Oryzias latipes: one gene and its partners. The protein of the gene in region 3 interacts with the protein of the main gene of each other region in a pairwise test. Links are inferred from orthologs where the notes say so. Each region holds a gene or a part of one and is shown on either strand. Other genes may lie near its edges.

What was found. The genes of interacting proteins can lie anywhere in the genome.
Region 1: the proteins of coiled-coil alpha-helical rod protein 1 (region 3) and zfyve19 interact in binary tests that used the Homo sapiens proteins (3 or more experiments, as listed by UniProt). The link is inferred for Oryzias latipes from reciprocal best matches to the Homo sapiens genes CCHCR1 and ZFYVE19.
Region 2: the proteins of coiled-coil alpha-helical rod protein 1 (region 3) and efhc2 interact in binary tests that used the Homo sapiens proteins (3 or more experiments, as listed by UniProt). The link is inferred for Oryzias latipes from reciprocal best matches to the Homo sapiens genes CCHCR1 and EFHC2.
Region 4: the proteins of coiled-coil alpha-helical rod protein 1 (region 3) and washc3 interact in binary tests that used the Homo sapiens proteins (3 or more experiments, as listed by UniProt). The link is inferred for Oryzias latipes from reciprocal best matches to the Homo sapiens genes CCHCR1 and WASHC3.

Annotation. Positions count from the first base shown.
Region 1 is NC_019880.2:14,825,345-14,831,202, reverse strand, and holds zfyve19 (abscission/NoCut checkpoint regulator), read left to right. Parts: upstream 1-2,132; 5' UTR 2,133-2,319; coding exon 2,320-2,373; intron 2,374-2,466; coding exon 2,467-2,588; intron 2,589-2,677; coding exon 2,678-2,731; intron 2,732-2,816; coding exon 2,817-2,977; intron 2,978-3,069; coding exon 3,070-3,212; intron 3,213-3,350; coding exon 3,351-3,459; intron 3,460-3,577; coding exon 3,578-3,796; intron 3,797-3,900; coding exon 3,901-3,977; intron 3,978-4,128; coding exon 4,129-4,230; intron 4,231-4,321; coding exon 4,322-4,485; intron 4,486-4,702; coding exon 4,703-4,781; 3' UTR 4,782-5,157; downstream 5,158-5,858. Other genes in the region: bub1b (mitotic checkpoint serine/threonine-protein kinase BUB1 beta), read right to left, coding at 11-155, 1,152-1,211, 1,332-1,474. UniProt on the Homo sapiens protein: Key regulator of abscission step in cytokinesis: part of the cytokinesis checkpoint, a process required to delay abscission to prevent both premature resolution of intercellular chromosome bridges and accumulation of DNA damage.
Region 2 is NC_019879.2:12,532,954-12,538,687, reverse strand, and holds the start of efhc2 (EF-hand domain-containing family member C2), read left to right. Parts: upstream 1-2,008; 5' UTR 2,009-2,146; coding exon 2,147-2,191; intron 2,192-5,734. Other genes in the region: fundc1 (FUN14 domain-containing protein 1), read left to right, coding at 473-550. UniProt on the Homo sapiens protein: Microtubule inner protein (MIP) part of the dynein-decorated doublet microtubules (DMTs) in cilia axoneme, which is required for motile cilia beating.
Region 3 is NC_019872.2:16,061,112-16,066,052, forward strand, and holds the end of coiled-coil alpha-helical rod protein 1, read left to right. Parts: coding exon 1-184; intron 185-1,424; coding exon 1,425-1,526; intron 1,527-1,692; coding exon 1,693-1,838; intron 1,839-1,915; coding exon 1,916-2,018; intron 2,019-2,101; coding exon 2,102-2,247; 3' UTR 2,248-3,618; downstream 3,619-4,941. UniProt on the Homo sapiens protein: May be a regulator of keratinocyte proliferation or differentiation.
Region 4 is NC_019881.2:17,520,316-17,526,100, reverse strand, and holds the start of washc3 (WASH complex subunit 3), read right to left. Parts: upstream 3,727-5,785; 5' UTR 3,578-3,726; coding exon 3,527-3,577; intron 3,211-3,526; coding exon 3,112-3,210; intron 2,426-3,111; coding exon 2,360-2,425; intron 2,269-2,359; coding exon 2,131-2,268; intron 979-2,130; coding exon 865-978; intron 766-864; coding exon 701-765; intron 603-700; coding exon 503-602; 3' UTR 1-502. Other genes in the region: zinc finger protein 252, read left to right, coding at 4,415-4,454, 4,966-5,168, 5,246-5,347, 5,420-5,515, 5,602-5,712. UniProt on the Homo sapiens protein: Acts as a component of the WASH core complex that functions as a nucleation-promoting factor (NPF) at the surface of endosomes, where it recruits and activates the Arp2/3 complex to induce actin polymerization, playing a key role in the fission of tubules that serve as transport intermediates during endosome sorting.

The DNA.
Region 1 (5,858 bases), on a different chromosome or scaffold from region 3:
GAGTACGTACAAATTTGACCCAGAGGTCTACATAGCGAGGATCATTGTGATATCTTTTGTCTTCAGTGAATCTGGTCACAGCTCGCTCCAACAGTGTTGTGAGGTTACTTTCTTTCCCCCCCTGTGGGAAAGTCTGTTCTGTCCACTTTATATATCTGTAAGGAGTCAACCAGGTACAAAGACATTTTAGATCTAGAGATTCAAACATTTGAAAATCGGTGGTTTTCTAAAGATCTTTAAACTCTACCAACTGAATTAGTCTGGCAAACATTCAAAAAGAAAAAAAAGAAATAAAAGAAAAAATTTGGCACATTCAATTGCAAGTTAAATTTATTGTAAGAACTAGGGATCCCACAAATCTCGGTTTAAAATCGAACCATTTGACTTCCGGGAGGCATAGAGCAGCTGCACAATTTCAGATCATGACCCTGAAAAAACCCCAGTGACTGAAGAATCAGAGGACATAACCAGAAGTCGCTTGATTTCCTGCTGGGGAAAGTTAGAATAGTTTGTTACACCAATGAACCGAATCGTGGTGAAAGTTAATCATTGCATCACTACTGCATTCCAGTATATTTACGGTGTAAGATTCACTGCCGCCTCTCAGTTGGCAGCTCAGGTACAAATTTCTCAAAACAGACTGAGCAATTCTCATAAAAAGAAATCAAAAACTAATATTTTTCTTTTAATATGAAATTTGAATGTTGTTTGTGTTAGGACAAACCAATACAGACACTTCCTGTCAGTTTTAAATGTTTATTAAAAGGAGTTATTGATCCTGAAAAGTCTGTATCAATGAATTTCTTGCTAACTTTATCCAATTGTTTTCAACCACCTCCTACTCAAACTAGTGCCATACTCTGCTGAGCTTTAAGGCAATAAAATGTTGGTATCTGTTCATGATATGCAGACTTCCAGCAGAGCATTTATCTGTAATAATAAGTTTGATGTATGTAACACTGATCATAATAAGAATTAAATAAATATTTGATTCCTGATGGAAATAAAACATTCAATAATGATTAAACTACAAGCTTGGGCCCCATTTCCAATCGCGTGAACAGATCGGGACATATCTGATCCAAAAATCGAGGTCTGAACCGAATTGTAGGGAAGGTGAATTGTTGCATTCCTAGTTAGAAGTCGCTTACCTATCCCAAACACCAAGAGGATCGTCTCCATCATACATGCGTAGCTCAGACTCAAATGTTCTGTGAACACAGGATAGTTTACATTTTTAAATAATGGAAACAAAACTATGTTCAAACTCCAAAACATTTTCAGCTGAAAATCTTTCAGATCAATAGCTGTGTTTGCAAAAGCATCCATACTGTCTCTGCTGGTTTATGGCTGATGTGGGTCCATCTTGTTGCTGACTTAAGGCTTGATGTAAGGCAGATATGTCTCTTCCCCGCCTTAGTGGTTGAATGTTTTCTTTGCTTAGCTCCCATTCCACATCACCACCTTCCGCCATAGTGGAAATGCTGGAAAAGGTGGAGAGGGCAAAAAACTCCAATCAGAAACTTTGAAATAATCACAGGATATTAAAGGTAAGCAAACCAAAGATTATGTGAATTTAATCACAACAATGGTCATTTTGCCCTTTGCTACATACATACATTTTATTTTAATCAGTTTGTGCTGCTACAGGATTTCCATAATCCACAAATATCAACAGTAGACAAAACAGTTAAGACGGGGTATTACCGTGTAAACCTACAAGCTGCAACCAACTATGCCAGATTATGTTTTCATTCTGAGATAAAACAGATTATGTTTTCATTCTGAGAATTGAAAAAAAGACAGGTTGTTGTTGTTCGAAAAGCTAGTTAGCTTAGCGTAGGGTGGGAGTGTGTAACCATGGATATTCCATCACTTTATTCGCATGCTTTAAATTAATCGTGGCCGTATTTTTAGACTCGGCAAATCAATTAGAATAAAATAAATTTTCTTCAATATAAAACATGAAATATTACTATTACTACTTACAAGCTTCTTTAGTTTTTAAGCAGGTAAATCTTGGACCGTGCAAAGCTGAAACGGTTAGCTCGCTGTTTTTTTTGAACAAGTCCCGCGAGAACACAAGGAGAAAGCTGATTGGTGGGTTGAAAATACCGGAAAAACAAAGATGACGACAAATGACGTTTTCCGGTTTACTTCCGGTATTGGTTCTAGCTACGTTCAGTAATATAATACAAGAACAGGAGGAAGCATTTTCTGTGTTTTTAATTTTATTTTTTCTTAATTTTGCAAAGTTCTTTTCACATTTAATTGCTGGTGTATCGTATGTGATAACCTCATATTTAATGAAGGGGCAGAATGGACGGTCGCTGTTATTGCTGCGCATCCAAGTTTAGTCTTTTCAAAAAAGAGGTATAGTAGTATCATGGCTAATATGAACATGACACGATTGTGTTTTGATAAATGTGTACTGAAGGCTTATTCTATATAATATTGTGTTTATAGCTGGGCTGTAAAAACTGCGGGCGATCTTTTTGCCCCAGCTGTTTGGCTTTTAGTGCTGTGGTGCCTCGCTGCGGAAACACTCAACAGAAGGTCTGCAAGCAATGTCACGGTAATCTGACAAGGTATAAATATATAAATAAAAAGTGCTGCTGAATTATGTTGATGAACTCTCCAAAGTCGAATAATCTTTTGTTTTTATTCTCTTCATCAGTGGAGAACCTCCGAGCAGTGCCGGAAGATGGTCCCCACCAGAAAATTACAAGAAGTTAGTATGTGATCAGATTAAAAGGGGGAAAATACATACATGTGGGTTTATTAAGAACACTATCTAAAGTTACTGTCTTTTACAGGCGTGTCGCCGCCCTTGAGGCCAAACAGCAGGGACAGTCTGTGAAATCTGCTGCACATGGAGGGAGCAACAAAGCGGGTCATCTACCATGTAAAGGTCTAAGTAAAGAAGATCAGATTATTGCTGAGCGTCTTCAAAGATTAAAAGAGGAGACTAGACCAAGTAGGATCTTTTTTTAATGAGCATAAATTAAACACCTATAATAGACATGAGTTTTCCTCCTATTTGTCATACTTTTTTCCCCATTTCTATAGAGCCATCTCCCTCTCAGAGTGATCTTGAGTCTCGTCTCGCTGCTCTCAAAGCACCCAGCCAGCCAGTGCCTTCCATAGAGGAAATGGAGGACCGTCTGGCTGCTCTACGGGGTCAACCACCACCATCTCAAGCTCCTCCTCCTGTGAGTTAAATCCCCACCTCTTTTATGGGTGATGGTTTATAAAATATGCAACCCAGGTAGAGTCTCAAGTATCTCATAAATAGTCCGGTAATAGTATGGTCTACCTGCTAACACATCCTTATGCTCTCGTCTGGACAGGTTCACCAGCTTCCTGATAAACGGACTCAGACTGAACAAGCTAATGATTTGATTACTCAGATGACAGAGGAAGTTTGCATTGACAACCAGCAGTTAAACCATGAACAAAGTAATGTTTTGCTTGTTTAAAAAAATAGTTTTAATTAAAAAGCAATAAAATTTACTGCCCCTACAATCTAATCATGGAAAACTGGTTTCATTCTAAATATTTTATTTTTTGTTCAAAGACATAAATAGCCATATGAATGATCTGAACAAAGGGGAAGGTGCCACATGGGATGAGAACTTAGAGGAAAATCGGCAGACGGTGAAACATTTGGAGGCGGACAAAGACCGTCTTCTCGAGGAGGCAATGCAGGAGCTGAGGCAGGAGCAACATTCCCAAGAGCAGGTCCTCCATATGGCAAAGAGGCTGGCGCAGCTCAAGGGGCAGGACCCAGAAAAAGGTGCAGGGAGCAGTTTACCAACATTTATAGTTTTATGACGGAGAAAAATGACTAGACTTTGAATTTAAAACTTTGTAACTGACATTTCTATAATACACTTTTAGTCACAATGGAGGACTTCCAGAGTCCTGACAGTGATGAAGAGACTGAAGAAGAGGCTGTGAGGAGAATCTTGAAGCAGGTAAGGCATTCACAGAAAAGCAGAGGGCATTTCACAATGCAGTTAAAACTAAACACTTACTTTGTTGCACCTTTTTGAGGACAGCATTTCATTCTGACCACAAGAGGCTGCTGTTTGGCTAAGATGTTTTTTAGTTTTTCTGACTTTCCAGCTTTCAGAAGAGGCAGCTCTTGATGAAGCTAGTGGCTACAATATACCCATGGAGCAGAGTGGCCCCAGGAACACAGAAAACAAAAAAAAGTCTAAAAAATCAGTATGTTCATTGATCAAAATTCTGTGTTTTCTTTTAAGCTGTTTGGCTGCATTTTATTTAAAACACTGCTTTCTTTTGCTGTGGCGTGTAGAGTTCGGCTCCTGCTCCTAAGAGCAGAATCTCACCTGCTGCTGTCATGCATCAGTCATCAGACAGTGAAGAAGAAGAGCTTCCATGGTGCTGCATCTGTAATCAAGACGCCAGCCTTCGTTGTCACACGTGTGACGGAAGCCTGTACTGCAACCGCTGCTTCCGGTAACTATTTCAGATTTTTAGAGCTAATATTCCTGACCAGGACTTAAAACGATGCCCTCTATGGGAAATCCTTACTCTGATATCAAGAGTGTTGATTTGAAATGCATGTTATGACCCAGATAAAATGTTGGCACGCTGCTGTACTGTTAAGCAGCGTGAATATAAAGTATTTAGTGTGATGAATTATCAATTCTCCCCTTTTCCATTATGTCCCCAGGGAAGGCCACGATAAATATGACAGAATGGAGCATCAAACTACCAAATACACAGCGCCAAAGACAAAAAAGAAGACGTGATAGTGAAACTGCTATCTTGTTTGTCTCATCAGGCGCTGTTGTTTCATGACTCTCTAGTCTTTAAAGTGTCCTATTAATGTTGCTAAAGTAGAACCTTAAAAATGTAGACACTACATTTAAATAACGCAAGGCAGATCTCACTTTAACCCATCAATTTGGAGCTCTTTGCAGGAAGAGCTTTGCATACTTTCTGTGCTTTCTGAAACCTGGTTTAACCTCAGCAATATATTTAATAGGTACCAGAAAAACCCACACCAACCTCATCCAAAAACAGCTCGGAGTGTAGAGAGTAAAAGTATGTTCACTATTGTGCCATGACCACAAAGCAACTACAAAGAGCGAAAAATAAAAGCTGTCAAACTGATTTCTTTCATCACTTGTTGTCAGTTGTCCTACTTTTTACTGGCAAGAATGAGAAACCAGAAGTGTAGTTTGCACTTGTAAACTTTTTTTTTTTGCCTTTTTCCGTGCACACAGAAAGCACACGGATCATGAGTTCATATGGAATACCATAGGCTTTTAGGACTGTCAGACAGAAAACACCAAAGTGTTAACTGTAAAAAGATTCACTGGCAGCTTTGTTTCCTTTAAGCCAGGGGGGTCAAACTCATTTTCATTGAGGGCCACATCAGCATAGTGGCTGTCCTCAAAGGGCCAAATATAACTTATACATGTAACTAAATGCAATGAAAAATAAATGCAAATACTCCTTAATGTTAAATAACTCATTATTTATTTACTTTTTTTTAAGTGACAATTACAGTTGCATAGAAAACACATGTTTGCTTGTTACTCTACCATAAATCCTTTTAAATTTGAGTCTGTCAGGTTGGGTTGTGTGGACAATCTTTAAGTCCTAATGTATAGTTACTCAATCCAATATTTCAAGTCAGATTCCCCCTAGATATGAATAGATACGTACCAAATTTTTAGTTTTTATTCTAAGAAATCAAAAACTTTTATGCTCTCACGGGCCACATAAAATGACATGGCGGGCCACATTTGAGTTTGACACGTGCTTTAAGCTGTCATTCCTACAGTCTGTATTTGGATGTGACAGACATTAGCATTGGCTCT
Region 2 (5,734 bases), on a different chromosome or scaffold from region 3:
ACAGCTTACTGACGTTGCCTGGCTCCAACATGGCAACATTGATATCATAACAAAGTATCGACTGAATTGTCTTCATTTAGCTGGATCCATTTTCTATGGATGACATCACACTCAGTCAGTCAGTCAAGTTCTTGTTTGTAGTCTATGGTTGTTCCTTAACCTCGCTTCTGAAAAATATTGGAAAATTAAAAAGCACAACTTTTTCATCCTTTAGTCCAAAACAAACTTCCCAAAAAAAGCTCAGAGATTTGGGATTTATTTACAACCATGCTTACTGTTAACACTACAGCACTCTAATTGGTGTTCAGCTAAAGAAAAACTGCAGGAAAAGCCCTTCATCATCAACTCTAAGGGGTTCTACGGTTAGTCAGCTTGTACGCCTTATTATTTAGGATAAAGCTCCACTTAGATTAATTTGAGTATGGAGGAAAGTCCCGTGTGATTCAGCAAAGTTAAAGATGTGTCTTTTCAGTCCACAGAGTTTGTGAAGAAAAACATTGTGGTGACCAGCGGCTTCGTTGGAGGGTTCCTGCTGGGTCTGGCTTCCTAGGCTGATCTTCTCAACTCCAGATCAGTGCTGGGGCGTTTCTACTGCAAGCGGCCACTTTCACTTCAGCTTTTGATGTCAGCGGGACAGAGCAACACAGCTGATCAATGATTGGGTAAAGGTTCCTCACTGGCAGGGGTTGCTTCAGAAAGTACAATAAATGCAGTTTTTTTTCTTTTCTTTGCATCATTTAAGCACGATATATGAAGGTATTTATGATAGACAGCTGAAGGACTATGTTTGATTTTTAAGGATTTCATATTTAACCAACTTATGTTCTCCATGAACTTTAATCGTTATACATTATTACAGGAAGGATGAGTTAAAGAGGAACCTGTTTAGACTATCAAAACTTTTACTCAACTAAAGGATTCCTGTCACACAGATTTAATTTTAAAATCAAAGTAAACCAGAATGTTTTCTATTTATTTATTTGTACCAAGCTGATATTATTCCAAACGTTTGCACTCCGTTTCTGCAGTGAGTGGCAGAGACCCTTTTACCCTGTTCTCCATTATCGTCATTGGATCTGCAGGCGTCAGTCAGCTTAAGAGTGGAAGCTTGAACATTCATGTAAAGTGCTACATGGGTCATCATGTCTGCCTGCTCTGCCTCTTGTGTTTTTTGTTGTTATGATGAATTTATGAAGACTGAAGACCTATAAATCTAAATAAAACATCTCCAAAAAACAGAACTAAGTTTTTTCTTTTACATTTTTCATTCCTGAAGGTTTTGGTTTTATTGGAGACCCACTCCAGTGTTTTTGGTGTTTTTAACATGTTCTTGTGGTATTTTTCTGATGATGCAGGACATGTGTAAAGAAAACTGAACCTAAAGTTGTATGAGTATTTATTTATTAAAATTGTTGTGAATAAGGAGCTGATGAAAAAATGTTTGATAGAGAGAATATTAGGTAGAAAGGCTAGCCATCAGCTCCCTGCTCTGCTTCATTCCGATGCATCCACCTGAAGACAAATGCATCCATGGACGTTTTTGTTTTCCTCGTCTGAGTTGGAATGTGATGGCTGAATAGCTCCAATATTGCTCGCCATTTTGATTGCACTGGTAATGTTAGCTTGGGACTGTGAGGGGTTGTAAGCTAGTGGAAGAGAGAGTGTAAACAATGGAATGATGGGATATCAGCGGAGGCTTATCTGTAAGCCCTAGAAAATAACACGTTTTGTTTTTTTTAAACAGCAGAATCTTTACAAATTACCAATGTGAACATTTTTTTACAGTGGCTCAAAACAAGGTTAGTGTGGAACTTAAACTGGCTCTGCACAGACTAGCGCCCTGTCCAGGATGTCCCCTGCCTTCGCCCACGAGTGGCGGCGTTATGCTCCGGCAGCCCCCTGACCCCGGAAGGGACCAAAACTGGTTTAGAAAATCAATACATGAATGGATCTTTAACGTCAGTTTTCTTTCTTTCCTTTATCTTTTAGTTTTTGTTTTGTTTTTGTGCGCATTTAAATATACCATACACGTTCGTTATGAGCCATAGCAACAGTTGACGTTTCCATAGCAACCGGCAACAACGGACAGCAGGCTTCTGCCCACCGCAGCTTCTAGAAAGAAAAGCGCTTCGTTCCTGTCGTCGTCATGTCGTCTTTACCGTTTCTACCCGGAAATTCATTCGATCTTCATGTAAGTGGATTCATGTCTGAAAGTTTTGGCTCGACTTCAGAGTCAAACGCGATGGTTAAGCACTCGGTTAAGGAATTCCACTACAGTACTACTGACGACCAAGGCAGTCATGTTGACCGCTTGGCGTTATTTGTATACAATCTGGATTATGATACTTATAAGAGGTAGTAATAAGTAAAAACACACCAGGATGCTAAATGAAAAGATGTAATTCCACTGTTACCAAAATATTGCAGCCTAATATTCATCTTATCAGGCCTTCTCCAGTTCATGGCATCCCCTGTCTTTTTATTATTTTTCACTTTTGTTTCTCTTGGGTTAAAAAGAAAACTATGTTGGTTTCAGAGAGCATAAACAAACAAACAAAAAGCTAGGAGAAAAAATTAAGAAAATGTTGTGAAATCTGAAACCCCCTGTAAAAAAAAAACATGGAACCAATTTGACTGCTACGGTCAATCGGGGTATAAATACTCAGATCTCTATTGCATTTAAAAAAAATTAAAATGATAAAACAACGTGAGAACAAAATATACACACGATTAGGAAAAGTCAAAGTCCTACTGGGTCATAGTTTTTTGTTTGGAGGCTCTCCATGCCATAGGAAAGAAAGGACTCATGGAGATACATGTGTGTTTACATTACAATGGACACATGTGTTGACCTCTTACTCACACAACGCAGTTGGTCAACAAGAGCTGGCTTTTTATGACCTTCCTGTGTGATAATGGTTGGATTAATACATTAAAAAAAGATTTTCTTGGTTAAAACATTTATTTTTTAAAATTTTGTTCAGTTACATTGAAACTGAAGGGAACTTGTATCATTTTAAAATATGAATTTTCAAAAACAGCTAAAGAAAAGATGATTATAGTAGTTTTGACAAACTAGCGGTGATTAAAGGGTTAATTATGTGGACCTCTGGAAGGTTGCTGGTTCAAGATCAGGCAGGATCATCCTTCACTGTGGTGCTGGGTATGCATGTCAAGCTGTGCACCAGCCAGCCAGGCTTGGTATGACTCTTTCTTCAGCTTGACGGCATCCCTTACTTCCGGTGTCCACCACGGGTTCGGGGGTTGCCGCCGCACCGGCACCAGAGACCTTGCGACCACAGCTTCGAGCAGCGGCAGAGACAATGGAAGTGGAAAACTTGGTCCACTCGGACTCAATGTCCTCAACCTCCCTCGGTATCTGTTTGAGGTTCTCCCGGATGTGGGAGTAAAAGACTTCACTAACGGAGGGCTCAGCCAGATGTTCCCAGCAGTCCCTCACAGTGCGTTTGGGTCTCCCAAGTCTTTGCGGCCTCCTTCCCCGCCAGCGAATCCAACTCAACACCAGGTAGTGATCGGTTGACAGCTCTGCCCCTCTCTTTACCCAAGTGTCCAAGACACGAGGCCAAAGGTCTTGTATCTCCTGATACAACTACAAAGTCGATAATTGACCTCCTGCCTAGGGTGTTCTGATGCCACGTGTATTGATGGACACCCTTGTGCTCCAACATGGTGTTTGTTATGGACAAACTTACGAGCACAGAAGTCCAATAGCTAAACACCGGTCGGGTTAAGATAAGGGAGACCATTCCTACCAATCTTGCCCTCCAGGTCACACTGTTATTGCCCACGTGGGCATTGAAGGCCCCCAGGAGGACAATAGAGTCCCCCATTGGGGTACCCCTTCGAGAGGGGTACTGGACACAAGGCCGGGCTCTCTAAACTGCTGTTCGGCACGTAAGCCCAAACCACAGTCAGAGACCTGTCCCCCACCCGAAGGTGGAGGACATGACCCTCTCGTCCACTAGGGTGAACTCCAACACTTGGCGGCTGAGATGGGGACTCACGAGTAAGCCCACAGCAGCCCGCCGCCTCTCACCATGAGCAACTCCAGAGTGGTAGACAGTCCAACCCCTCTCTAAGGACTGAGTTTCAGAGCCCATGCTATGTATGGAGGTGAGCCTTACTATATCTTGATGGTACCTGTCAACCTCTCCCACAAGCTCCGGCTCCTTCCCTCCCAGAGAGGTGACGTTCCATGTCCCAAAAGCCAAGTTCCATGACGGGGGTTTGGGCCGCCGAGGCACCCGCCTTTGACTGCCACCCAAGCAACATTGCACCGGCCCCTTTTGAGGTCTCCTACGGGTGGTGGGCACATGGGAGAGTGGTCCCATTTTGCTCCTTTGGGCTGAGCCCGACCGGGGTCCGTGGGAAGAGCCCCGGTCACCAGGCGCTCGCCTACGAGCCCCAACCCCAGGCTTGGCTCCAGAGTGGGGCCCCGGTGACACCAATCCGGGCGATGTAATTGACTCCTTGGTATTACTCTTCATCAGGGGCTTCTGAACCGCTCTATGTCTGACCCGTCACCCAGGACCTGTCTGCCATGAGAGACCCTATCAGGGTCTTAAGCCCCAGACAGCCTAGCTCCTGGGATCACTCGAGCTCTCAAACTCCCCCACCACGTTAAGGTGGCTGTCAACGGGGGAGCAAGCTGTGCACCTTTGTAGAGATGTAGTGGAGTCACTAGTCTTTTTCTTTCTCAATATTCAGGTACTTGTACTTCTAAATTATACTTCTTTTAGGAAATGTGTTGGTGCTGTCCATACAATTTTAAAGTCCCACTCCGATCATCTTTCGATCTATTGTAAGAGCATTCCTAGTGATTAATTATGATTATGCTGTTTTTAGCCAAAATAAAAAACATTGTTATTGTTTAATAAAGTTTACAGGGAGTTCATTAAAAACGTATGTCTGGGACAGTTGGAGTAACCCAGCCCACCTTACCCTCCTCATTGTTGAGAGCTCTCAGTTTACATACTTTCCCACTAGCTTAAAGGCCCCTCACAACCCCAACTTAACATTAGTGGTGCAACAAAAATGGCGAGCAATGTTGAAGTTATCAGCCGTACAGTTTAGAGCCAGACTGCAGCTGAGACAAGGAAAACAAAAATGTGCATGGATCTATTTGTCTAAAAGTGGATCAGAATGGAGCGGAGCAGGGAGCTTGTGGCTCGCTCAGCGTATTCTATAACGCAAATATAGTCTTTTTTGAAACTGCATTTTTTGTTTGGTCCTGATGCACAACTATTTGAATAAAGAAAAACTCAGAAATGTAATTTTAAGCTCAATTTTCTGTATATTTGTCTTCAATTATCAGCAAAATGCCAGAAAAACACAAAATGTTTATCTGTTTTAAGTTAGTGGAGTGGGTCTTTAAGGTTAAGGCTCATTGTTAAGTCACAGAAGTGAACAACAATTATTCACATTTTCTTGGTTAACGCATAAATATATTGTATCTGATTTTCTGCTGTTTCTGACGTCAGCTTCCGTGTTTCAAATCAATTTTCATGACAAGAACAGAGAAGTGCAGCAACATAATGAACTGGAGTGAATTGAATTAAGAAGTAATTATTAAATGATGTAACAGTGAACAGGGTTTGCTAAATGCCATGCATTTTGTGAGGTGATTACATGGGGTTGTATATAAAATACTGCAATCCGTCACATTTCTCTTCAGAATTCAAACTCCTCACTATTTTTGTCCTCCAGCTCTGCT
Region 3 (4,941 bases):
AGTAAAGTCAGGCAGCTGGAGCAGGAGCTGGAGCTGAGCTGCATGGAGGTGAAACAGGCTCTAGCCGGTAAAGAGAAGGCGGAACAGAGGCTGCAGCAGATCCAGGCACAGCTGGATGAGACCAGCATCAGCTTGGAGACACTTCCCTGTGAGCTGCTCCACCAGCAAGAGCGAAACCAGCAGGGTGAGGCAGCGACTTGACTTTGAACGGAACTGGCCTTTTCTGGAAAGGTTCTTGTTTTGATGCTTCAGCAGCCTTACGGGGACCCGGACACTATGTCTCCAGCTGATCAAGTGGAGTCAACCATGTCAAACTGAAACTTTTGTTAAAAACTGATCAGCTTTGAGAAAAAAAGATATAAAGAACATTGTTCACATTCTTATTGTTCATGTCCTCCTGACTACCAGAAATGTAAAGTTGTCCATTATAGAGGGTATTTTAAACCCCAATATTTCCCAACCTCTCTACTACTAAATTTACTCATCTGGTATCTAAGAGGACATTTAAGGCTTTTCAATGTTACTAAGTGGAAAAGGATGGGGCTTATTTTTTTTCTCTGGTAGTTGGAAGAATAACACTTTTTTAAATATCTGGAAATCAGAACAAAATTTTGTGTAAAATGTTTAGGATATGTCTTCATATAATGTTTTTATTTTGCTTTTTAATTAATAATTTATCCAATTTTTTATTATTTTGTGTCAAACCTTGTAAAAACGTAACACTACTGGATTCCTTAGCTTCAGTTCTTTTTGATTTCCATATTAAGTGATGATGCAGGCATCACATTTACCGTTTACCATAAGTGTTTACTTTCCTTTAGAGGAATTTTTATTTATTTTTATTATTATTATTATTATTTTTTTTTTTTTACAAAAAATAGTACCTAAAAAGGAAAAAAAGTGAAGAAAAATACCACAAAACCATCCAACTGTGGAGACTAAAACCCAGATATAGAGGGAAGGAAAGCTGAAGTGCTGATTCTCTGAATCATTTAGGATTGTGTTGGTTGAAGGCAGAGGGCTGAAGAGGATGTCTGACTGGCAGGTCGGCATGCAGGCATCCACATTAGTTGGAGCAACAAACAATTGATGAGTGGATTATGATTTTGGCATGACACACTGCTGAGTTGATGAGATGAATGATTGCAGGCAGGTGTACAGCCTGAGAACCTGCCAGGCAGCAAAGGAGAGAGGAAGAAAGAATTACACCCAACACTTTGGTAAACAGACAGAAAAAACCTCAACGGGGAAAAGAGGCTGCAAAAACACAACTTTTTTTCCTTTAAAAAAAAAAAAGTGATCAGAAGTGTCTTTTACTCGTTCCTTTGTGCTGTTTCATTATGTTGCCCTGGAAAGGAGAATTGATCCATTGATGCACTGAAGTTGAGTTCATCCCCTGAGGTGCATTTGTTCTTCTCCTCCAGCCCTGCAGGAACGAGTGTCTGCGATTGAGGCTGCGCACGCTGAGAAAACGAAAGAGCTTGAGCTCCAGCTGCATGCAGCCCGCAGAGAGCACACCAGAGCAGGTAGATCCTCGTCGCTGCCTGTCGCAGCTCCACGTCAGAGCGCCGAGGTTTATTACTGATGCAGACTGTAATTTAATATGGTCGAATCTGTTTGCACAGTATATTAGCCGTGTGATGGAAGATCATGTCCCTGTGGCTTCTGATGTGTCTGTTTTGTCTGTTGCAGTTATGACTTTGCTGCAGTTTCAGAGACAGGCAGCAAGACAACACGATGAGATAACAGAAACTCCAAACTGGGGGGGTGAAAACACAAAACAAAATGTCCTGAATAAACATGTAAAGGAGATGGAGGGGAGCAAAAAGTTTCTACATGTAAGAACAGACTTTAAAACAAAAACGCTATACAAGAAATGTGTGTGTGTGTGTCTTTTAACGTGACTGTGCTTTAGGTCATGGCCTCTAAAGAGGCCCCGATGGCAGAACACGCACAGAGTCGAGAAACTCCTTCAGAGAAGAGGACTTCTGTTGAAGCAGAGGTCCACCTTCCTGCAGGTGCTGAGAAATATCCTTAATCTAATCGTAACCAATATTTTAGACCCTAACATTCACACAGGGCTAACTCTGTTTTCTCCAAGAGAGACTCCTGAGTGTTTTGGAGGAGCTCCACACGCTTAGCGCTGCTGTAGTAAACAGCTCTGAAGACTCTTCAGAGGAAGAACTCAGAAGTGACGACAGGAAGACTTCTGCTGACCTTCTGGACAGTCAAGACATGAAGAACTGAAGAAGTTTAACTACTGATTAGAAATATAAAAAAATAACCCTATTTTTACTCCATTAAGTTGAGCCATAAAGGCTGGAATCACTTTCATGTTGACTAAATAAAAATTATAATATTTTACATAATCTATTAGTTATTGTGACTTTTTAAATTAAAATCAATAAGAACTCAGGAAAGTATACAAACACTCGTGAATAGTGGGGCACAAACAGATAATCTTCAATAATGTACTATTTCTTTATTATTTTACTACTTTTTAAAATGTATTTGGGTTATTTAAAGGACAGTCTCGTTTCCTACTTTAATTTTGCCGTTCAGCTAAAGTAAGGATTTCCTGCAAAATGCTTTTGGGAGTTGCCTCCAAGTGTTTTCTCGTCACACACAAAGCCTTTTTTTTTCAAATTACATTTAGGCACATTGGTAAAGATTTTCTACTGTAAAAAATCTATATTTTCTATTTGACACTCCTTTATAGAGCAGTCATAAGAGCAATGAGGATAAACACCATGACGAAGCAGGTAATTGTGCTATTTGTCATGCTGTCACCAGTGCTGATAAATTCAGAAAAAGTTCAAAGTTTTAGGCCCTTTAGGTAACAATTTAATAGTCTTGATGAAGTGTAAATATACCCACTAATAAAATCGTCTTTACTCTAAGCTCTCTGACCGCCGGAGAAGTGATTCATCATTTTAAACTGGTCAGTAACTGATTCAGCTTTACTGTTCTAAAAATCTTACTTTTACTGCATATGGTCTAAGAGACCCTAGTGAAATTCAATAAAAAATTACAGAAGTTCGAAGCCTAAATTTAGGTCACGTCCTGTTGACACACCTGAAACCCATTTTTATATTTTTTTGGTTCTTTTTAATTATTATTTAAGTTTATTTGCATCTTTTGGTTGTGATGTTGGTGAATTTCTTTTGAATATTGAAGGCTGATGGTAGCTTGTCTTGCATTTTTCTCTGCAGCACCTTGCAAGTGCACAGAATGACCAACAGAGGGCAGTGTTGTCAAAGCTGAGCTCAAAGCGAACAGCCCTCTTGAAAGGAGGAAACAAAAATTAACTAATAACGTTAATCATCTAGGTTGAAAAGGTTTTGTATGAATAAGAGGATAAAAAGGTGTAGACTATATTCTAATATTATTGATTTAAGACATGGTGAAAAATTGACTAAATCAGGAGAAAAATCTAATGAATAAAGTAAAAAAAAAAGAAAGAAAAAAACTGGTTGTGTTTTACTATTTAGAGCTAAGTAGTTCTGAAAAGTTATGAAAACTAAATATTGCAAAAATTAATCACACACCTGGGAGTGATCTTCAGTCAGCTCTACCTTTCTGGCTTCACTGGCCTGTTTACTGCGATTGACTGTGCAGCATTGTTGTGAGACCCAGTTTCCCCTCCTGCTTGTCAAGTTCATTGGGTCTTATCACAGAGTACCGGGACAAGCCCAAAAGTCTTTTGCTGCAGTCTCTGGTTATCATCAGGTGTTTTTTTTTCCCCCTGTCTCCTCAACTTTTCCTAATTGTGAGTGATCCAGTGATATCAAATATATGTGAGTCAATGCACAAAAAATAATTTTGAAACTCAGAGTTTTGACCAAAACCAGATGACATTTTTACAAGCAGATTTGTGATTATTAAATGCCTTACCTTAACGTGGAGTGTGAATATATTAGATGTGTATTTTATTGTGTGGGGCGTCTTTTTCTTTTTTTTTGCAAGAATAGGGATTGGGGGTTTCTGTATTCTTGTTTGTTTTTATGTGCAGCACCTTGAGCTGTTTTATATTTTTTTACATGAAATGTGCTTTATAAATACAATTAATTTGAATTTGAATAAAACAGAAGAGTTTTTGTTTTAGAATTAAAAAAAAAAAAAATCAAAGGCTTGCTGTGACTTCCTTTCACTGAAATGAAACAAAGCATCATCCTTGCAGGATGAGTCTCCTCCTGTGTCAATCAGTCACCTTGTTGGTTTTCACTTCAGACTTGGGGGATGAGTGTAATTTAGTCATCAGCGATATCACATTAATCACATTTTGCTGGAAGAACAAATGAATAAACAAGAATAGATAACATATTTTAGCTGACACACAAGCTGACAAGCCTGGAGATTTGAAGAGAGAAGTAATTTACTCTTCTTTTCAATTGCAAGAATTGTTTGAGTAAACACTGAAAATAAAAACTGCATGATACTTGGTATGGAGATGCTCAACACATTTAAAAAATACATTGACTGGCTTTTTTAAGTGTACTGTAAGGATAATAGTTTCTTTTAATTAGGTTTCTAAATTTTTTGTTCAGATTTTCTTTCGGTTCATTTCAAAAAGCCTTTTGGGTGACCTTGTAAGTAACTAGGCCTGCACAATATACCGCAAATTTATCGTTATCGCAACATCAAGCTGTGCAATATACATACAGCAAAAGACGGCGAAAATCGCAATAAATGGTTACCTTGACCCTTGTGCTATCCTAGGCACTTTAACATTGGGAGTTGGGTCATCTAGACCCACTAGACAGTGCACTGAACTTTTTTCTTCAATGATTTGTGATCTTCACTGGTGTCCATGGATTACATGAAATCTTTCCACCTTTATCCACCTTTGTCATGGTAGGGAAAACACGTCAATGTAAGGGGGGGGGGTCATCTAAGATAGGACAAGGGTTAAATGTGCTAAAACAAACTCATGGCAGCTTG
Region 4 (5,785 bases), on a different chromosome or scaffold from region 3:
AAAACTGTTACGGACATAATGCTATGAAAGATTGACTCAAATGTATTCATTTCTTAGCTATAAATGACAATTCTACCTTTTTTATAGACTGAATCAGTTAGGATGCAAAGTTCCGCTCATAGCTCTGAAATATATAGCTAAAAAATATACATTCAGGAACAGTTGGGAAAACAGATTTCTGATGCTACACAGCCCCAACCTACAGAATACGAGGGACCCCCTGCTATTATTAGAACAAGTGGGCATCCACACAATGTGAGGCAGGTGGTGTTAGTGCTCCAACTCATTCAAAAAGCTTCCTCTTTCTGCTTTCTTGAATAGACAAAATATATATACATATTTTTCAAATCATTTTAAACATTGATCAAAATGCTGCAGCTCATTCAGATGGATATAAACAATCACCTAACAAACTTGATTGGATTCTTTGCAATGTGTTTCTTTATAGGCAGACTTGCATTTTGAACCTTACAGGACGTTTTGCAGAATAAAAAAAGAGGTTTCAGTCACTGAAGGAAGATTCACTGTCAGAACTGGAGGCAGCAGCCCCTTCGTTCTCTGTGTTGGCTCCTGCTCCGTCGGGCACAGGGGCATCCGGCGTGCTATTATCAAAAGACAAGAGGACACATTTTTGTCATTATTAGTGGAATAAAGATAAAAAAATAGGAGCGCTGCTATTCACCAAACCATGTAAACTCACTCGAGTAGGCTGGGGTCCAAACCCTCCAGGATCATTTTGTTCCTGATGGCCATCACTGGAACACCCTTGAATAATAATAAAAAAATACATTACATAAAATAATACATTAAATTACTGAACAAAATATGACTTTTGTTAAACATTTACATCAGATAATAACTTACCACTTGAACCATTTTCAGGTAGCGGGCATATCGTGGGTCTTTGGCCACTGTGAGGACATTCTCTGCAACGGCTGCTGCTTTTTGCTCAGGAGCTTCTTGTCGTGCCTCCTGAGGCTGAAGCATGAAGAAACGTTGAAAAGCAGCTTTAAAGGAAACTATAATCCTGATGAATATGGCGAAAATAATATCTGTACACTAAACAGATGCTCAGAATGTTTCTGTAACGCACACAGGCAACCAGATCCCTGCTATTCAGTCTATATTACTAACTGGTTCCTTATTTGTTGTGTAAATAAAGCAAGATTGGAAATTTCAAAACTACAAAAGAGAAATATGTGGGTCAAATCGAGATCAGCTTGAAGGGAATGAAAAACCACAAAGTAAAATTAAAAACAATTGAGAAAATTAGTGAACAGTTTTAAATTCAAAAGTACACTTTGGTTATTTTAATTAAATTAAATTTTAAAAAATAAATAAGTAAATAAAAGTACATTCTCAACTTAACATAAACCTAAACTTGTCATCAATTCAGAATTCTGACTGTTATCTGGGGCTTTGAGCCCATTGGCTACCTGGACATGATTGACATCAGGTCATAAAGGGTATGATGATGTCATTTCCGCTCCACAACAGCGGTAGTTGTTGGCGCCGCCTGTGTCATCCCTCCTCTGATGTGGCGAACAGTAGTGATAATTCTCTCCCAAAGTTTGGTACATCAATACAAAACAGCAGCTGTTACAAATATATGTTAATTTTCATTTGGTAACAGTTATAAGTTTATAGTTTTTCTTTTTAATTTTAAGTTTCAACTTAAAAAATTATTTTTCAAATTTTCTATATTCCTCTCAAGTTTAAAATCTTTTTTTTTTTTTCAAAGTTACAATTATACTTTTCACATTTACAACATTTCTTTCACATCTGTTTTTGAGTTTAAAACAGTTTTAAATTTTATTTTTTGTGTTTTTTCCTTCACTTTAGGTTGATCTGGATTTGACCCCATAGGAATTCTACATTACACAAAAATTTTGTAAAGCTATTTTAGGATTATTTTCATGTTTGTCATAAAATAAAATAAGAAAATCAATAGAGATAATTATATATTAAAAAAAACTATAGTAAAAAGGTAAATCATCGGTCGACCTTTCACAATATGAATGTACCATAATCCTTATGTATCAGGTTTGAATCTATAAATTTGTGAAAAACTGTGGGGGAAGGGGGGGTTGGGATATTTGTGTCTTTTTTATAACAAGTCTGAACACTCACCACTGAGGAAGGAACTGCTCCCACTGAAGACCCATCTGTTTGGATTTGACTGGTTGGAGTGGGCCCATTTGTCTGCACACTGTGCTGCTGGTTCAGTCCATCTACTGTGACCTCCTCCAGCCCGGGAATGGAGGCCAACTGCTCCACAAAGACAAAAAACAACAACAAAAACATTTGTTAAAAAAAGAAATGACATCCATGACAATTTGAAAAGGGTGTGACAGCTCACCTTAGCCTCCAAAATGCACAAGGTGGTATCAATCTGCTGGATGCGAAGGGATATGTTTGCAAGTTTCTGTGGGGGAAATGTTGATATTTTGGATTGATCGAGTTCCCACCATGAGGGCTTCACACATTTTGACACTGATAAATTCAAAGTCAATCGAGTTTAAAGTCCCAATCATCAACTTTTGATCTATATTGAATGTGTTTCCATTGGTCTTTTAACTATGTTAATGTTGTTTTTTAGGCAAAAATGTAAAAAAAAACAAAAAAAAAACTGTTGTTCGACAGTTGGTGCAGAGTAAGCCCGCCCCTACTTCCTATCATCCATCTGTTTACATGCTCTCCCCAAGCTTACAGCCCCTCAAACACCCGTAAACTGACATTAAGAGGACAACAAAAATGGCGAGCAATTTTGGAGCTATCCAGCCGTACAGTTTAGAGCCAGATTCCAGTTCAGACGGGGAAAACAGAGACATACATGGATCTATTTGTCTGCAACAAATGGATGCATCAGCATGGAGAGGAGCAGGAAGCTTGTGACCCATCCGCCGCATTTTCTACATCACAAATACAATCTTTTTCAAACTGCATTTTTTCGTCTGCTCCCGATTTACAACAATTTGAATTAAATAATACTCAAAAATGCAATTGTAAGCTTAATTCCCTTAAGTATATTGAGATGAATCCCACAAGAAACACGTTAAATACAGGATTTCCATCAAAGTGGGTCTTTAACGATGTAAAAGATGCACAAACCTCTTCACAAACTGTGGAAAATCGGTTCAGGAATCGAACTGTGTGGACAACAAACTGATTGAGATAGGCAACAATTCGTCTCTGCTGTATAGCTGGAACCTAGAAGGGAGTTTAAAGTCATTTAATCAGGAAAACGATGACACATGAGAGCGAGTCCTATCAGATTCTGGAGAAATTTAGAGTCATGCTTAGTGCCAGCCTTTACAAAAACATGCATTTTAAAGTAAAAGAAAACACGAAAAATAATTCTGCAAATACAAAATCGTTGGGAATATTGATTGAATCCTATTATAATGTGATTAAAATCATGTTTATTATCCCATAAAGTCTTACTTGACTAATCTTTCAGCTACTTCTTTCATTCCCACGGAGATCTACAAGCGAACCATGACTGTTAGCTAAAAAAAACACAAACCTTCGTGAGGTCAACTCCAGACCCCACGATTGGCAAACCGTCCTCGTCCATGCTGGGTCGTTAAAACTCCGCGCAAACGTCCAGTATCGTTTATAATCTGTCTACATGGGGTGTAAATAAAGAAAACAGCACATTAAAAAGGTTTGTAGTGAAGGTTTCATGTGACTTGCGTAATTACGTCATAGCGCGTCCTATTCCTCTTGTCACTTCCGCTATATTGCACCAATGGCCTAACACTTCAGCTTTTATTTTGAAAACTTTAAAAAAATGTGTCTAAATAGAAAAATAAACAAAAAATTAAATAAAAAGAATTACAAGAAGAATGGAGAGGATTTAAATAAAACTACAAGGATATTTTCAGGTCAATGAGTAGAAAAGCCCATTGAGACGACTGTTGTTTTGAATTTTGGCTACACAAATAAAATTGAATTGAATTAAATTGAATTAAATTGGATCTGAAGTTTAAAATTGATTAAATAATAAATATCAACACTTAAAACCCTAATTCCATTTTATAGCACTGTTATTTCACATCTGGTTTAAAATACTATAAAGTTTAGTCAACAACCAACTTTATCACTGCGGTGAAACGTCTTAGTTTTTGGGCATTTAACTTGTGCACATAATCTATTGATAATACATTTAAAACAATACCATCTTAAATAAAAAAATATACATACTGAAATATTCGTGTTTATTTGCGAATATGCATAAACTACATAACAATGTTTTCGATTTTGAATCTGAAAACTCTTATTTTGAAAGCGGAACCCTCAAAAACATTGGAGGAAACGATGTTTGCGTCCCAACAGCGCATGTTAGCTAGAAAAACCAATAAAAAATATTTTTTTACAGTTACTGTTATTTTCAGACTTTTAACGCTGGACTATGCAAATGGACGTTTTTGGGTCAAAGAAGCAAACTAATCGTAAGTGTATTCAGATTAATAAATGTAGTCGTAAATCACGTTTATGCTTTGAAAATACTCTTTGGGACCCGACTAACTTAAGGAATGGTGTGGAGTATAAACTGGCTAACTGTTAATGTTGATGAAATCACAGGTAGTTTTTTTCTGTTATGTGATACATTACGTTTACAGACCAGTTGTACTTTTTATTGTTGTTGAATTTTAATCGTTTCAGTCAATATATTCCCATGTTAAATCGTTAACATAGATGTAAATCCAGCATTTATTTCAATTTCATAACAGATCATGAAAGGCACATCGCCAATTTAGCATTTGTTAAGGTTAAGAAAATTCTTTTTTAGACAATTTAATATCTTAAATTTAAAATTCAGCACATCATTTTTTTATTTGTAAGGTAATGCTACTTTTGAGTGGGGGTTTTTCACCTCTAGTAGTAGCATGAACATGCCTAAAAACAGGCTAATTACTGCCCTCTATAGGCAATATTTTGCATCACACCTTTCTTTTTCAGACCCCAGCTTGCCTCTGTCATCCCTGCGTCTCTTGGTTCCCCCTCTCCAGCTTTTGTCTGCTGCTGTGTGGCATCTTGCAAAGCATAAAGATGTGTTAAATTACGACAAGCTGCAGGACTTTGTGTCTACTGTGACAGAGGCCATTCCTGGCCTAATCAACCCCCTACAGAAAGCCCAGCTCATTCTTGGACTAAGAGCTCGGGTGAGTGTCTTTTGTGTTGCATAAAGGAGTGTTTGTAGTCTATATCTTATGGCTGAGTAAATATTGTCATATTTCAGTTGATTTTGGAGCTGTGTAAAGGCTCAGTTCGAGGGGAAATTGATTTTGAAGTTATCCAGAGCTACTTGGAGAGATTCTCCGTAACTTCAGCAAACACGGGCGTAAGTCAGGTGAAGGAGCTGAACCACATATTTAAATATTTACTGTAGAGTGACACTTCTGTCTTATTGCAGTATGTGGATGCAGAGGTGAGAACAACAGAGTCTACTTTCATTGCTCTGATACAAAGCCTGCTGAAAGATCCAATTGAGAGGGCTTATTTCTTTAAGGTGAGATACCTTTAGGGACACATTGGGCATGTGTGTTCAAAAACCTGCTAAAAATGTAAAAGAAATTGTATTCTCTGTTCTATTAGGAGGTTTTTCCCGTTGAATATGGCCCACAGTATGACGCAGCCTTACACATGTTGATGTGGGAGCTGCTCTCCAAACTGGAAAAGCTGTTTCCAGCTCCAGATATTAAACAGGTGTTATTGACACATTTTTCAGGTTTCTTTACCCGTGTCGCTCCATCAGACTGCGACCTTTGACCGCTCTCTG